Caenorhabditis elegans: one gene and its partner. The protein of the gene in region 2 interacts with the protein of the main gene of each other region in a pairwise test. Each region holds a gene or a part of one and is shown on either strand. Other genes may lie near its edges.

Region 1 (8,556 bases), on a different chromosome or scaffold from region 2:
AAAGCTCACTTTCCCTACAATCGAGTTGTCAATTGGAGACGTCAAAATCAGTTTTCATCGGAGGAGTCACGTGTTGAGACAACTACAACAACTCCAAAACCATCAGTCCCAGCGGTAACTCCAAAAAGTTGGGCAAAAACAACGACAGCATCGGCTTCTGGTTATTCTGCCGAGCCGGCTCTATTTCTTCCATCAAGATTTCATCGGAAAAAGGAGGACGTCGTGATTGTTTTTAGGAAAAAACAGAAATCATAAGAGAATTTCGTGTTATTTATTGTTATCTTTTAATTTTAATTTATTTTGTTCCATCTCTCACTCTGTCTGATCAAATACAAATTTGTTTTCTTTTCTTCAATTTGTAGTAAAGAAATTTATCAATGAATCACCGATTTGTTCATGAATCTTGTTTGAAAAATTAAATTTCTTTCAATGCAAATGCAAAAATTGGGGAGCAATTCTACGAAAAGGCATAGAATCAGTGAGGAATAAAATATATATTAAAATATAAAAACTATATATTTTTTGTATTACCCTAGGACACCGAAAAATGGAAGAAAATTAATGAAAAATGATGATGAGCAGGATAAAGACACGATGGTCAATTAGAATTGGGTTTCACTATCAAAAACAAATGAAACAATATTATATACAAATATATAAAGCCAGCTACGCGGGAGAAAATCGAGAAAGTAGAAATGAGGGGGGAAAATCATAAATCACTGGAGGAGGCCACGGAGAGCTGATTCAATTATCTGGCGATGAGCAATTCGGGTGACACCGAGCTGTGTAAATCGAGACCGATCGCACTGGCGAAGGCATCGGCCATTGATTCGTTGACTTCGAAATGCTGGTGTATATTCAGAGAGGTGTAGTGATGAGAGCCAACCGATGACGTCATCCACCGACCAGACATCTACCTTCTTGTGTTCGAATGATATTTCACTACCTGCAAAGAGAGGAAATTTGGTAATTTGTTGAAACTTAAAGGAATGAGCCCCAAAATCTAACAGATAATGATTTGAATTAACAATTTTTTCTTTTACAAAATATCCAAAAAAGAAGTTTCCTTCAAACATATTTCAAACTAGAAATGTTAACAGATAAACTGAAGCAAACAATTCAAAAATGAAGAGTTACACTGAAACAGAACAAACGAAATTAAGTAAATTAAAAAACCAAATCAAATTGTTTTTTTAATATTTAGAAAACTAAATATTTTGACAAAAATACTATTATAGTATAAATATTTTTACAAGTTTACAAGTATTTTTACAAGAATACAAGCGTAAACAAATAAACTAGATAATTCTCAAAACTGCTCTAAACATTTATAATGATTTGAATTGAGAATTTGCTAAAAAAAATGTATCCCGAGAACACAACCAGAGCATTCCAAAAACCCCATGTTAACCAAAACTAGACCCCAGACAGATTTCATTCTCCCCTTTCCTCTTAGATTCATAAATTAATCTCCAAAATTTGTGAGAACATAAATTAAGTGAGTGTGCAAAAAGAGTAAAACTAATGGTGATGTCAAATGAAAAACAAGTTGGAAGAAGAATCTCTTACAGCGAATCTCTCCATCGCTATCGCCTGTTCCAGAATCCGGATCATCATCATAATCGACAGGTGGAATGACATGAGATGGTACCACGAAGCATCCAGGTTTCGTTAGATCAACTGTTGATGATGATGACGCAGTTGACGACGAGGCAACAGACATCTGAATTGCAGGTTTTAGGTTAGAAATTGGGCACAAACCACACATGAACAAATTAAACATTCTTTCACACCATCTTTTTTTTGGGGTTAAGAAAAATGTTATATTGAGAAATCAGTGCAGGGAAAAATGGGTCTTACATTGTCCTTCTGTCCGTAATTATCCTCGAGATGCTGAGAGATCAGTGTCACTCTTTGAACATTTGGAGAGTGATCAAGTGAGAAATGGGGTCGATGATCTTTTTCTTCCGATTCAGATGGTTCCAGTGACGTTCGAGAAGATGTGTACCTGAAAAGAGAGGATTTATTTAAGTTGTATGTAAGCTTCAAGATTGAAGATGTTGAGCTACGGAAGTTCGAGAAAGCAGTTAGCAGTTACCGTGTTTTCTCTATTAATATTGTACTTCGATTGTTCAACTTTACCAGCTTATATCTCAGTTTTCGGTTGTTCTACACAAAAATTGTCAACTGACTAAATATTTTCTGATACTTTTTCTATAGTTTCATAGTTGAACATTTAATGATATCTTCTAAATGAACTGAGATATAACTGTTCAAAGTGAAATAGTGGGAATATGGTTAAAGGTACTATGAAAGTAGGCAAGAGACACGAATAGACGCCAAAAGTCTCAGAATGTTTTGAACTACATTCTGACAGACTTTTTTAAATGTTCCAAAAATTAGCAGTTAGAAATAGCCAATTAGCAAAAATCGGACACAACCAATAATTATGCAACCAACGAGCATTTTTCAAATGAAATAAACTCACTTACCCACTGTCCTTCTTATTAACTATTCCAATGTTCTGAATTCCTTTTCCACGTTCTACAACATTTTCCCGAACAGTTTCTCGAAGTGATAATCCTTCGAATCGACTTTCTCTCTCCTCATCCTCATCGACATCGTGAGCTACTTTACTCCGCCTCTTTGCCAACGCATTCTTCAAATCCATTTGAAAATCTGTCGTGGAGTTGTTGTTATTATTGTTATTATTACTGACAGAAGCCGCCGATGTTTCTCGTGGTTCTGCTTTTTTTAATTGAACTGATTTCAAGGCATCTGCTGATATTCCTTTTGAATTGCTCATCAAAACCGGAGCACTCGCAGCCACATGCATCAAACCTCCCGGAGGAGGTGGTGGAGGTGGTGGCGGAGCTCCAGATGAGATTGGAGGCAATGGAGGAGGTGGAGGAGGTACTGAAGATGTTGATGGAGGTGTGAACTCAACATGTACCATCGTTGGCTCGCAGTGTGGCGGAGGAGGTGGTGGAGGCGGTGGTGGAATCGATGACTGCTGCTGCTGAATTGGTTGAGGTGTTGAAGCTGATCTTGGAAGAGATGGATGTTGTTGTTGATATTGGTGGTTCTGATGATTCTGATGTTGCATCGGTGGAGGAGGTGGTGGAGTTTTCGGCCTTGACGTTGGTCGGAACGGCCTAGAATATTCACTCCGCTGCATTGAAGAATCTCTCTGCAAATCCGGAGAGATATACGACGCCGGTGGTGGAGCTGGCATCTCATCTTCATCGTCAAATGAATCAAATGAGTCCATTCGAGATAGTTGAGGTGTGCTTCGACTGCTACAGTTGTACTCGAATGTGCTAGTTGTGGGAGCCTGAAAAATTCTACTTTCTCAGTGTGCTCGCTGTTGGGAATTTTGCTCTGAATTGCTCCAAATGACATGATATTTAACAAACAAAAAAGAAAACATTTAAGAAAATCGGGTTAATTTTTTAAATTTTTTTCTGTTTCAAAATGTTTTTTAACTTTGGCATTTTGGCATCTTTAATCTAGTTTCTCCGTAATTTAGAGCAAATAAATATTCCGATTCCCACATTTTTCTAAAACTCACCGCTTGCTCGAAAGTCGACCTATTCAATCCGGCAGATGAAGCCACCACATTCCGTTGACCTTTCCTCCTCTTCATGTCAGAAACCGAATTATACTTCTTTGACGAATAACCCCCATTCAACGACTCCTGATCATATTGCATTTGATATGGTGAACCTTGCACCGACGGTACCCGCTGTCGAACCATCAAATTCTCCAATTCCGCTGCGGATATCCTCCTCCCGCTACCCGGCCTTTGCCTGACTGACGCGTGACGTGATTCCGAGTAGGCGTTCCTGATTTCATTTGGGGCATAGTAATCAACTCCATGCGCATCATGCGTGTCTGAAAATAAAATGACTATGCTACACGAGACCGAGAACAAATCTATAGAACAGATAACACATAATTAGAAAGCTGATCTCTATGTAAATTCTAGATTAACGTGAACAGTGAATTAGAAAGTTAGAAAAATAAAGTAAAAATAAAACAAAAAAATTCGAACCAAATCTCATCCGATAAACACTGGACGCTTTTGTAGACGAGTAGATTGCTGACGGCGTGGGTGTAAAAACCAAAGAGTGACGAGATGATGCTGGAAGTGAATGTGAGTGAATGGTGACGGTGCACGGATTAGAAAACAATTTGTACTTGAACAAAGACTACACAAAACTAAAAGCGTGCGAATATGAACGACGATACGTTGAAATTATCATTGAGATTTGGGATGATAAGTTCAAGCTTACACTTCAAGCCGAGTTTGTGCAATATCAAGATCATCAAGATACTTAACTCCCAATATGAACTTCTTTCAACCCAAATCTCAACAACACTCTATTCAACTTTCTTTACCTGTTGGCGGTCGATGCACAATAGTTCCTCCCCTACTCATATCAGCTACATCGACTGTTATCACTTTCAGTGTAATCGTGTCACCGGCTTGCTGAATGAATTCGACGACTTCATCGTGTGAACACCTTCGCACATCGATTCCATCAATTTCCAGCAAGTAATCTCCTGGCCTTAATCCCGCGCGAACCGCCATTCCGGACATGTCGACACCTTCAAAAAATTGAAGAGCCGGCACTTGAGCAGTTGGCTCGAAGTTCAATGGCATGGCGACATCTGAAACAAGAACTATGAGAAAATTATTGAGCAGTTACATAAGAAAAAGGAATTTACGTTTAGCTCCTCTCAAAATGAAACCGAATCCCTTGACACCACGTGGAATCACCAGAATCCGAGCGATATTTGTCTCGTGTCCAGCTGCAATCATTCCACCACCACGCATCGAATCCATTCCAGACCGTCGCATCGTACCGTACTCTGATGGGGTGATGGTAGTACGGGAGGATCGAGACGGGCTTGGCGATGGAGCTGCAGACATTGGACCTTTTCGTACACTTTGGGGAGTACGGTAGACATCCTGGCTGCATATTGAGGATTGGGACATCGAACGTCGGCGAGTGATGGTTGAGCTGAGGCGTCGGCGAGTTGAGTATTGAGGAGTGCCGCGATATGGTACTGGAATTTAGATTTTTCAGAGAAGTTAAAAAAATGACTCTCTTACCTGAAGATTTAGGATTATGTGCTTGAACGACATCAGCCACACCAGGATTTCCGACAATATGCGAAACATGTAACGCAGTTTGTCCTTGCTTGTTCACAGCTAGATGATCAGCTCCCCGAAACAGCAGTACTCTTGCACATTCTGGCCTATTGTTCACTGCACAGACATGAAGAGGACTATTCCCATTTACATTTTCAGCATCGATCTGACCACCGAAATAGAGTAAGTGTTCCACATGTTTCGTTAACCCATTCTTGCATGCTTGATGAATCTCGTGGTTTCCGTGCATATCGGTCACACCGATGTCGGCGGCTTCTCGTAGAAGAATCTCAGCGACTTGATCATTCGAATCTGCTGTCAACATATTATAGTAGAGCGGTGTAAGTCCAATTGGATCACGATAGTTTGGGCTTGCTCCAAGTTCGATCAAGGTTTTTACATTCTCGAAGGAAGATAGAAATGCGGCTTTGTGCATTGCAGTTTGGCCTTCTGAATTGCGAAAATCCACGTGTGCTCCGCCACCAATAAGGGATACAATTACAGCTCGATTGTTCGGGATTCCAGCAGCCAGCGTTAATGGGGTTTCTCCCTGAAATTTTGTGAAAATTAAAATAATTTCAAGATGCCCGGCAATCCTAGAAACATCCACAAAAACTCACCTGAGCATCATGAAAATTTGCATCAAGTCCCTGCGAACACATCTTTTCCACTTTCTCGTTATTCTTCTGCTGAACGTAGTCCATAAACTTTTTGAGTTGGCCCTGCAAAACGAGAACGATAAGTATCTGAATTGAGAGGTGCGCGCGAACACAAATATTATTAGTTTGTGAAGAAAGGGGGAAAGATATGCATCTGATGGAATATGACGCATAAAACACCTTGTAATTATACAAGGTTTTTGTCAGTTTTCGATCAACATGTTGGATCGGAAGGAATTGAATAATAAGATGGGATTAGAACTAGAACATTTAGAACCTGGGAGGTTTTGGCATTGAAAGTTGAAAGAGAAGTAATCCCTACCTTCGTGTGCATTGCCTTCAGCTGCTTCTCGTCAAGATTGAGCATCTTATAGACTCGTTTCTTATACTTCAACTCGAGATACGGAACACAATCAGTGAACGGATAGTCACGAATGGTCCGATCCTCGAGAAGAAACTTTCCGGCTCGTCCATCGCATGGAGGAAGGAAGAGCCCGTAGTTGAAAGCTTGCGGAAGAGCTTGCGGAAGGGTGGCCAATAACTTGCGTTTCACATCCCAGATGAAATCGTTTTGGGTCACCGCAAGGAACTTCTGAAATTGAGAAATTGTAGAAGGATTATGGAACACCTAGATAAAACATTTTGAAATTCTATGGTAAGTTCTGCAAATAGTCACAATTTTATTTTGCAATTGCTCACCCGAACGTTAAGCTCCGGAACGAAGATCTGCAAATTAACGGTGTCCTCCTCTTGATTCATCGTGAATGCTTCCGCTCGGACGCCTTTGCTTCCGATGATGACACTAGCGCATCAATATGTCTCCGGACTTGTACAACACTGTTAGAATGAAGTTACCACTATTAGCTAATCGAACAGAAAGAAATGCAGAGGAAATAGAGAAATTAGAAAAAAGAAGAGAAGAAAGGCGATAACTTTGATGTATTTACTATTGATGTCAATTGGTGGGACATGGATCACAAAGGGGGACAGGCAACATTTTGCGCATGTAGGAGGTGCTGATCATGGGTAATAAAATTGAACATAAGGTCGGGTTGGTCGGGACAAAAAAAACGATGGAAACTCTGGGTAGAGATAGGTAGGTAAATGGTTTTTTGACAGATAGGTTTTTTTGTAAAATTTCTAGTTCTTGGTTGCCTTGGTTTAAAAGTTCGAGCTAGGGCGATGACGGGCGATTGTGGGCGAAAAGCCAGCAACAGGCTGCCTTCACACATGCCTATGTGCCTGCCTATTTGCCTATATTCCTATACGCCTACGTGTCTGTTTGAAAAACGAAGAAATCGTAGAAGTCACAAAAAGTGTTGCCAAATACAATAGCGTCGAGTTTTAAAATCTGCACTTTATTGAAATTAAAAAGTCTAATAATCAAACCTATAAAGTTTTAGAACATTTTCAAACTCGAATCTATCAATGTTTCCGCATCTAAAATTCAAGATCCACAAGTACTATGCAAACTTGAAAAGATGATGGAATTCTCAAAAGACTTATAGGTTTTGCCATTCGAAAAGAACACTCGTAATGGAATTGAGGAAGCGAACAGAGGAGAGAGAGCGCGACTCTTTTCTCCGTACTGTCGGAATAATGTGAGAGATAGCATTGAAGATGTGGAGACGCAAACTGTCTATAAGAGAGGCGGAAACTGGCTTCACTTCTTGGAAGGATGAGGAGAAGAAGCTTGTGAGGAGAAGAGGAAAACTGACAGAGAGAGAGAGAGAGAGAGAGAGAGAGAGAGAGAGAGAGAGACAAAAAGTAAGAAAACGAACAGTGAATGCACGAAGTAGTAGTATTGAATGAAGACGTAGCTGTGACAAAGAGGTAATTAAGTATGTACTCAAATAGTTTGTATGTTAAAGGAAAAAAATGTAACATTGTCCTCAAAGTGTCTGAAAGTTCAATGTGAATGTTGAAGCGGTGTTTGAAACACATAGGAGAAGGGTACATATTAAAAATATGAAATTGCACCACATTACTTAACTTTAAAAAATTATATCTTGGTGTATTTTAATGATATCAATAAATTATCGAATACAAACGATAGAAAAAAAATTGCAAATATTTCGTTAGTTAACAATTTTTGATTAAAACAAACGGCAACTGAGATATAAGATGCTAAAGTTGAACAAAAAAGTGGAATGAGAAAATATGGTACTCAACTTTGACAGCTTGTAACTCGGTCGTCTCTTAAAATTAAAAAAAAACTTTTTAGTTACGTAAACATGAATTTAACAATTTGTTCGTTAACAAGTCGCGAATTAAATGGAGAAACTAGAACAATTTTCTCTGAATTTCATCTCCAAATGGTTTTAAAGCACCTCGAAAAATGCGATAAAACTACACAAATCTCGTTTCCAATTTCAAGTGATAAACGAGATGATAAGACATATGGAGATTAAGGTAGTCAAAGTAGATGATCCGTACAGCTTATTGCAGGTAGGCTTAAAGGTAGTGAACAAGAATTATCTAGGGAGAGAAAGAGAGACGTCTGGATGAAAGGAAGGTGACTATTGTAAGCTGACTCTTACAATTGAGTCAGAGACATGTTTCCGCCGGAGTTTACGACCTTGGACACAAAGTTCCAGAATCAAGGTAGTAGGGAGGAAACTGGGGGAGGTAGGGATGGGTATTGTAAAAAAATATATTAGTCATTTTGTGGTGTCAAATCAAATATTTACTTTTTGATTCCCCCCTATTCAGAAAAAATCTGACACCTGATAAGAAGGA
Region 2 (6,004 bases):
TCTAATCCAATAATAGCATAGATCAAAATAACAAACAGAACCAATAAGGCAATGTGGAGCAAAGGAATCATGGCTCGAAGGATGGCGTTGAGCACAACTTGTAAACTTGGTACTCCTGATACAAGACGAAGCGGTCGAAGTACACGAAATGCTCTCAAAGCTTTTACATCGAATCCTTGAATTGACATTTTTGATAATATGGTACTCACAAGTCTGAAATTTTTGTTCTAATTGTTTTTGAAACTTCAAACCAAAAAACGACTCACCCTATGACAACAATAATAAAATCGAGAATATTCCATGCGTTTCGAAGATATGCACTGGGATGAAACATAAACCCCATAGCCACTATTTTGAGCACACATTCTATCGTGAATACGACAATGAACACGTATTCAATTGTTTCCTGTAATTTGAAGTAACATTTATAATTGTTTCCATAAAACAGTATTAATGAAGTTTTATTGCTAGATTCATCTTTTGTATGTTTTTTTTTAATTTTGTGGGAAACCTGAGATTATTAATTTTAAATTTCTATACTTTTTTTTAAATTTTGAGAATCAATTTTTTAGAATTAAAATGGCTTGCAATTTTATTTTAATTTTCAATAATAAATTTTTTTGGCTCGACTCCTTGGTATTTTAAGTTTTAAAACTGTTTCTCAAATTTTACTGAAATCAAAAACATAAATGCAGGGTATAAAAATTATTAACAATTTTGAAATTTCGATTTTTTGTCTTTTTAACATTATATTTTTATTTTTGATTTGCATTTTGTTATTTTTGGAAAAAATGTATCTTATAAGTAACTTTTCAATTTTTTGAACAAAAAAATTAAATAAATTTTTTCTGAATAATGTTCATTATTTTATCACCCTTTCGGGTTATTTGGCAACATTCACCATATTTTCAATTTTGAAAAAAACTCACAAGTAATGTATTTTTATAGTCTGAATCTTGAGCAGGATAGGGTTGATAGATGGCTAGAGCGATACAGTTGGCACATATCATAAACAATATTAAAAACTCGAATGGTCTGAAAATGGTTTTGATTTTAGTAAAATTGAATTTAGAAAAACAATAAACTTACTTCCATTCAACAATACTGATGCACAATTTTCGGATGGGATTATTCAAGGAGAGGCAAAGAAGTGATCGTTCGGATCTTTCGACGACGTTCGTTTGTCGAAGAGGTTTCCGTTGTGCGGGTCGTTTCTTTGTGGCATCTTGTGATGATGAAGCTGCCACGGCGGCCTGAAATTTATTTTTTGCTCATTCAAATAAACTTCTCTAGATTTCACGCTTGATTAATAACTTGTTGTTGATACTCGGTATTTTTAAATTTTGGTGTATTTTTTTCAACTGGGTTCCCTCATCATTTTATTGTCTTTCCATTTCTTGTTTTTATGTGGATAATTGGAAAAAGATGTGAAATCGGTCAATGGTCGGTTTCAAATTTCAGTTTCTTCTCCTTCTCTCAAGAAGTCGCGCGACTGAGCTGGCATAGAGGAAAGAGCTTCTTTCCTTTTTCGCAAAACCCATGAATACGATCATTTGTCAATTTGCATAAGATCTTTCTCTTTTTCTCACTCATTCTACCAATAGGCTCCATCATAATACACAAAAAGATCCCGCCTTCTTCTTTTTTATTGTTTTGTTAGCATCTCTCGGCTTTTTTTTCTTTCATACTTACTTTGGTGGATGGATTCAAAAAGTGGATCCCTTTGGATCTTATTGAGAGAGAAAAAGAGAAAAAGGGGAAAGAAAAGTGGAGAAAAAGAACAAAAAGAGCAAGAGAAGGCACCATTCAACTTGATAATCATATCCACATTGTGCATGAAATGTCTTTTTTTCTTTTTATGTTGAAGAATGCAAAGTCACTCGTTCAAAGAAAACTAGAAATTGAAAATATCAGAAATTGGATGGCATGTTTTCCGAAAAAAAGTGATTTATTATCAACTTCTCAAATTTTATCTCTGTTTCAGAAAATCAATAGATAAAAACAAGCATGTTTCGAAATGTTTCATATGAAAATTGGTTGACTAAAATAAAATTTCAAGCCAATGGAACCAGAAAAATCTTCGCATTTTCAGTTCTCATAGTACAGTAAGCTAATTGATTTTTAAAATTCATCTGTGATCTTTGTCTATTCTCAGATTCCAAAAATGCACAGGGAGGTGTCACATATCTTTTGCATGACTAACAAGGGTCAATTTTAAAGATCTGTGTCACTCGGCACTCCCTCATTTTGTACCAAACAGATATTTTGACTTCACAACAAGATCACCATTTTCCACCCTCAATTTATTTTCTGCAAGTATCTGCGTCTCTCGAGAGCTCCCGCATATTACACTAGAGATGATACACACAGACACGTACTGCGGATTTGCCTGTGTTCAATCAGAAGAGTTCCTGGATCATAGAGAGAGTACGAGACAATAAGAGAGTCTCTTAACAACATTTTGTGTTTCTAACACTTCCAAAAGAATATGTCACTTACATTAAATCGCATCCAAAGTAAAGGACCTAACCCGTCAAAATATCCATAAATATCGGCATAAAGCTCACGGGCATGGTAACGTATAGTGGGCATCTGACTATAAATGATACCATAAATGTGGTCCCTAGCCATTTTATACCATTAAAAGCTACCGGATATTAAAAGTGGTAACATTGTGCTGCTGGGATTGATGGGGTCGCTGACCCTCAGGATCTACCAATTTGGATGCGATTTATGGGATTTAATAACGGAAGTCCAGTGTCTTGATATGAGCATAAAGAAGCTTTTTAGGTCAAATGAAAAATGCTTGTTGACTTTCAAGGATGACATACTAGGCCCTACAGCAGGTATATTTTCAATAATTTTTGAAATCTGTTGGATCTATCCAACAGATGAAGATTCTTCTTGCTTCGTAAGAATTATCAGTTTCCACTCTTTTTGCACACTTTTTTCCCAGAGATTTCCAAAGTATTTCTTTACAATTTTTCAAGTGTTTGCAAAATAAAATACTAACCTGTAATGTCTGCTGCCACAGATCGGTTCTCTCCTGCTCATCAGCTGCCGCCTGCTCCTCGTCCTCCCCCGATGACATCATACTCGCTAACACTGAAATAATTAATAATAACTTATCATTCTCTACATATCTTCACTGTCTTTCTCCACTCCGTTCACTTTTTCTCTTCGATTTTTGTTGGTTGCGCGAAAACTCGAAAACAAAAGCAAAGAGAGTGCAGATGTGGAGTACCACGACCACTTGAGCCGAACCACCACCCATCACAAATCTGCCCCCGGAAATCAGAAATGAAATCAGAAATACAAAAAAATAAACTTTTTTATTCAATTGGAAATTTACTAGTTATAACTATAGTTACGGCAAGCTTTGAATAAGATCTGGATGAGCGCTGATCTTCGACTTGATTTATTTTTTTTAGATTATGAAATTCTAGAAAATCCGTATTATATTGCACATCCGAAGCTAGAATTAAAAAAAAAAAATATTTTAGATATGACTTTAATAAGAACACCAATAAAAAATCGTTTAGTACGGTAGACTTCGGCAGTTTGATTGTCTTCAGAATTTCTTGTGGGTCGTGTACTTTGTAATTGTTGTGCAGATAATTTTATAAAATGAATTAAAAAATTCTTACCTGACATGATGGACACAGGTTAACGCTCGTCATGCGAGCCTTTCACGATCGAGCAGTGTCGGCGCACTCCTCCTTTTCCACACTATATCTCTCTTCCTTCTTCGTGCACCACAGTGCGTTCTCGTTCTTCTGGAATCGAAATTTGAGATCAGAAAATGTGGAGAAAAATAAGAAGAATAAGAAAAAAACCGAGAGGAGCGACGACTTTAAAGCTCTTTTATTCGCCAGTTTTGCAGTTTAGTTTTGCATCCACCCTCACAAGAAGGTGGGGATGAGAAAAAAAAAAGGGAAAGAGCAATGTCCTTTTGGGAAAAAAAGAGGAAACTGGGGAAGGAGAAGGAGGAGGACAGGGAAGGACTGACGATCAAAGTTTCGTTTTTTAAAAACGAAAGTTGGGAATAAGAAAGACTTCTGACCGAAAAGTGACGGAGATTGAAAAGAGCATGAAAATGGGTTGAGAGGCATAACAACATGTAACAGAAAGGAAACAAAAACTAGTTATTTCCAGAAAAAATGAAAGAAAATAATGGAATTGGAATCCAGGGAGGAGGAGAAGCAGCAAGCACGGAGAAAAATTGTTCAGGATCAATTGTAGAGAATATCGAAAAGTTAAACGTTTTGACTTTAAGATACTGTAAAAAATTTATTAAACTTTTTTCAACAACTAAAAAATTCAAATCGATGATTTTTTGGAGATTTAAGAAAAAATTTACGGGCTTTTCTCGATTTTCAAGGCAAAGTATTTAATTCGTTGGATAATTTCAATTTTTAAATTTTAAAAAGAGTTTCCTAGCAACATATCAATAAACTACAAAGTTAGTTGCCCAGTTTTTGATAGAAAAAACTATAGCTGAGATATGTCAAAGTTGAACAATGAGGGGAATACTAATAAAACGGTATGTATATTTTTTTAATTATTCTTTGTCTGGAAAATAGCGTTAACTGTTACAATTTAACAAGAAATGTGGCAAATACAGTAAGCTGCACCATTGTTGTCAAAAACGGTAGCCAGTTCATAATTCTGAAGTCAATATTCCAAAAAAAAGGAAAAATTAGATGAGTGTTTGTGCAAATCATTATTATCGAGAAGATTTTGAGTTGATTTCTGAATAAAAAAAATGTGAGAAACACCAGACAGCTTTAGCACAAAGACAGTAGATCAAAAGTTGATTGAAATATGGCTTCTTCACCTTCTTATCTTATTCTCAATCCTACCAAAACAGAACGGGTGAAAAAAGGAAAAAGAAGAATAAGAAGAAAGAAAAAAACAAATGAAAACGTTTGAATTTCGGTGTGTGGTTTTTCGGGTGTATGTGTATGTGGGTGCTAAACCCTCTATTTTTCACAGCTCTCCTCTCGTTTTTCTTTTTTTCCCGTTGCCACAAAACGTTATCTGGACAGCGGCGGGCCGTTCATCACCTCTTCGCCAAACCGCCAATATTTACGCGCAGAATTGCAGTTTTTTGACGACGACGTCCTTCTACACCATAACCACACCCATTTCACATTTCCAAATATGCACAAAAACTCGAGTTTTTTCTTTCTTTCTCTCATCTCTATTTCTTTTTGTCACCAAAAAATTGAGAAATTTTGAACAAAAAAGACGGAGCAAATATGATGGGTTGGAGATTAGAGGTTCGTGATGAAGGGAATACTGGGCGGAGATGTTCTTTCTTTTTTTGGAAAACTATAGGTTCTAGATAAATTGGACCATCAAAGTTTGGAAAAAAGGAATCGGACAACAAATGCCAACTGTTTCTTTTTTAATTCCAACTTTTCTTCAAAAATGTTGAAGAAGGACAAAAAAAGAAGAATTCGAGAGGAAAACGAAGAAAGAAAAGGGAAAAGAAAAGAAAATTCGGAAAAGCTGGGGACCAGCAGCAGCGACCCAGCAGTGAGGGAGAGAATTTTAAAACAGGACGGCAGAGCGGAGAGCACCACGATAATTCTATTCTTTCACTCTTTCTCCTCTTATTCTCACGTCTTCATATTAATTTAATGATTAAAAAGTGGGAGAATGTCTAGAGTCATCCGACTACCATCTCAATTCAAATTGTCAAAGAATATTTGAATTGAGAATTCAAATAGCTTAAAGTGGTTCAAAGATGGAAATGTTAAAAGATTAGAAACCAAGTGAAATTTAGTTTGGTTTTTGGAAGCAATTGTGATAGTAGAGATGATCAGAAAATTGTATTTTATAGATCAGACTTATGAATTTATTGATTAAAATATTATTGGCAATTCGGTAAAATAGGCTAATTTTTAAAATATTTTTTCTCCATTAAAGATTAAAGAAATTATCTAAAATGAGAATAAATACGAAAAATTAATTTTTTAAATAAAGATTCAAAGTATAG

What was found. The genes of interacting proteins can lie anywhere in the genome.
Region 1: the proteins of egl-19 (region 2) and shn-1 interact in a two-hybrid assay, tested with the Caenorhabditis elegans proteins (one study listed by BioGRID).

Annotation. Positions count from the first base shown.
Region 1 is NC_003280.10:11,384,209-11,392,764, forward strand, and holds shn-1 (Protein shank), read right to left. Parts: upstream 6,657-8,556; 5' UTR 6,577-6,656; coding exon 6,517-6,576; intron 6,410-6,516; coding exon 6,140-6,409; intron 5,881-6,139; coding exon 5,779-5,880; intron 5,709-5,778; coding exon 5,120-5,708; intron 5,074-5,119; coding exon 4,732-5,073; intron 4,675-4,731; coding exon 4,402-4,674; intron 4,145-4,401; coding exon 4,055-4,144; intron 3,895-4,054; coding exon 3,572-3,894; intron 3,530-3,571; exon of another isoform or gene 3,509-3,529; intron 3,335-3,508; coding exon 2,493-3,334; intron 2,009-2,492; coding exon 1,861-2,008; intron 1,724-1,860; coding exon 1,570-1,723; intron 947-1,569; coding exon 717-946; 3' UTR 354-716; downstream 1-353. Other genes in the region: C33B4.5 (uncharacterized protein), read left to right, coding at 1-255. UniProt on the Caenorhabditis elegans protein: Scaffold protein that most likely acts in the postsynaptic density (PSD) of excitatory synapses which orchestrates synapse formation and maintenance at neuromuscular junctions.
Region 2 is NC_003282.8:7,403,232-7,409,235, reverse strand, and holds the start of egl-19 (Voltage-dependent L-type calcium channel subunit alpha), read right to left. Parts: upstream 3,655-6,004; coding exon 3,648-3,654; intron 3,312-3,647; exon of another isoform or gene 3,162-3,311; intron 3,106-3,161; coding exon 3,014-3,105; intron 2,043-3,013; exon of another isoform or gene 2,022-2,042; intron 1,832-2,021; exon of another isoform or gene 1,698-1,831; intron 1,548-1,697; exon of another isoform or gene 1,407-1,547; intron 1,254-1,406; coding exon 1,090-1,253; intron 1,036-1,089; coding exon 930-1,035; intron 407-929; coding exon 267-406; intron 214-266; coding exon 1-213.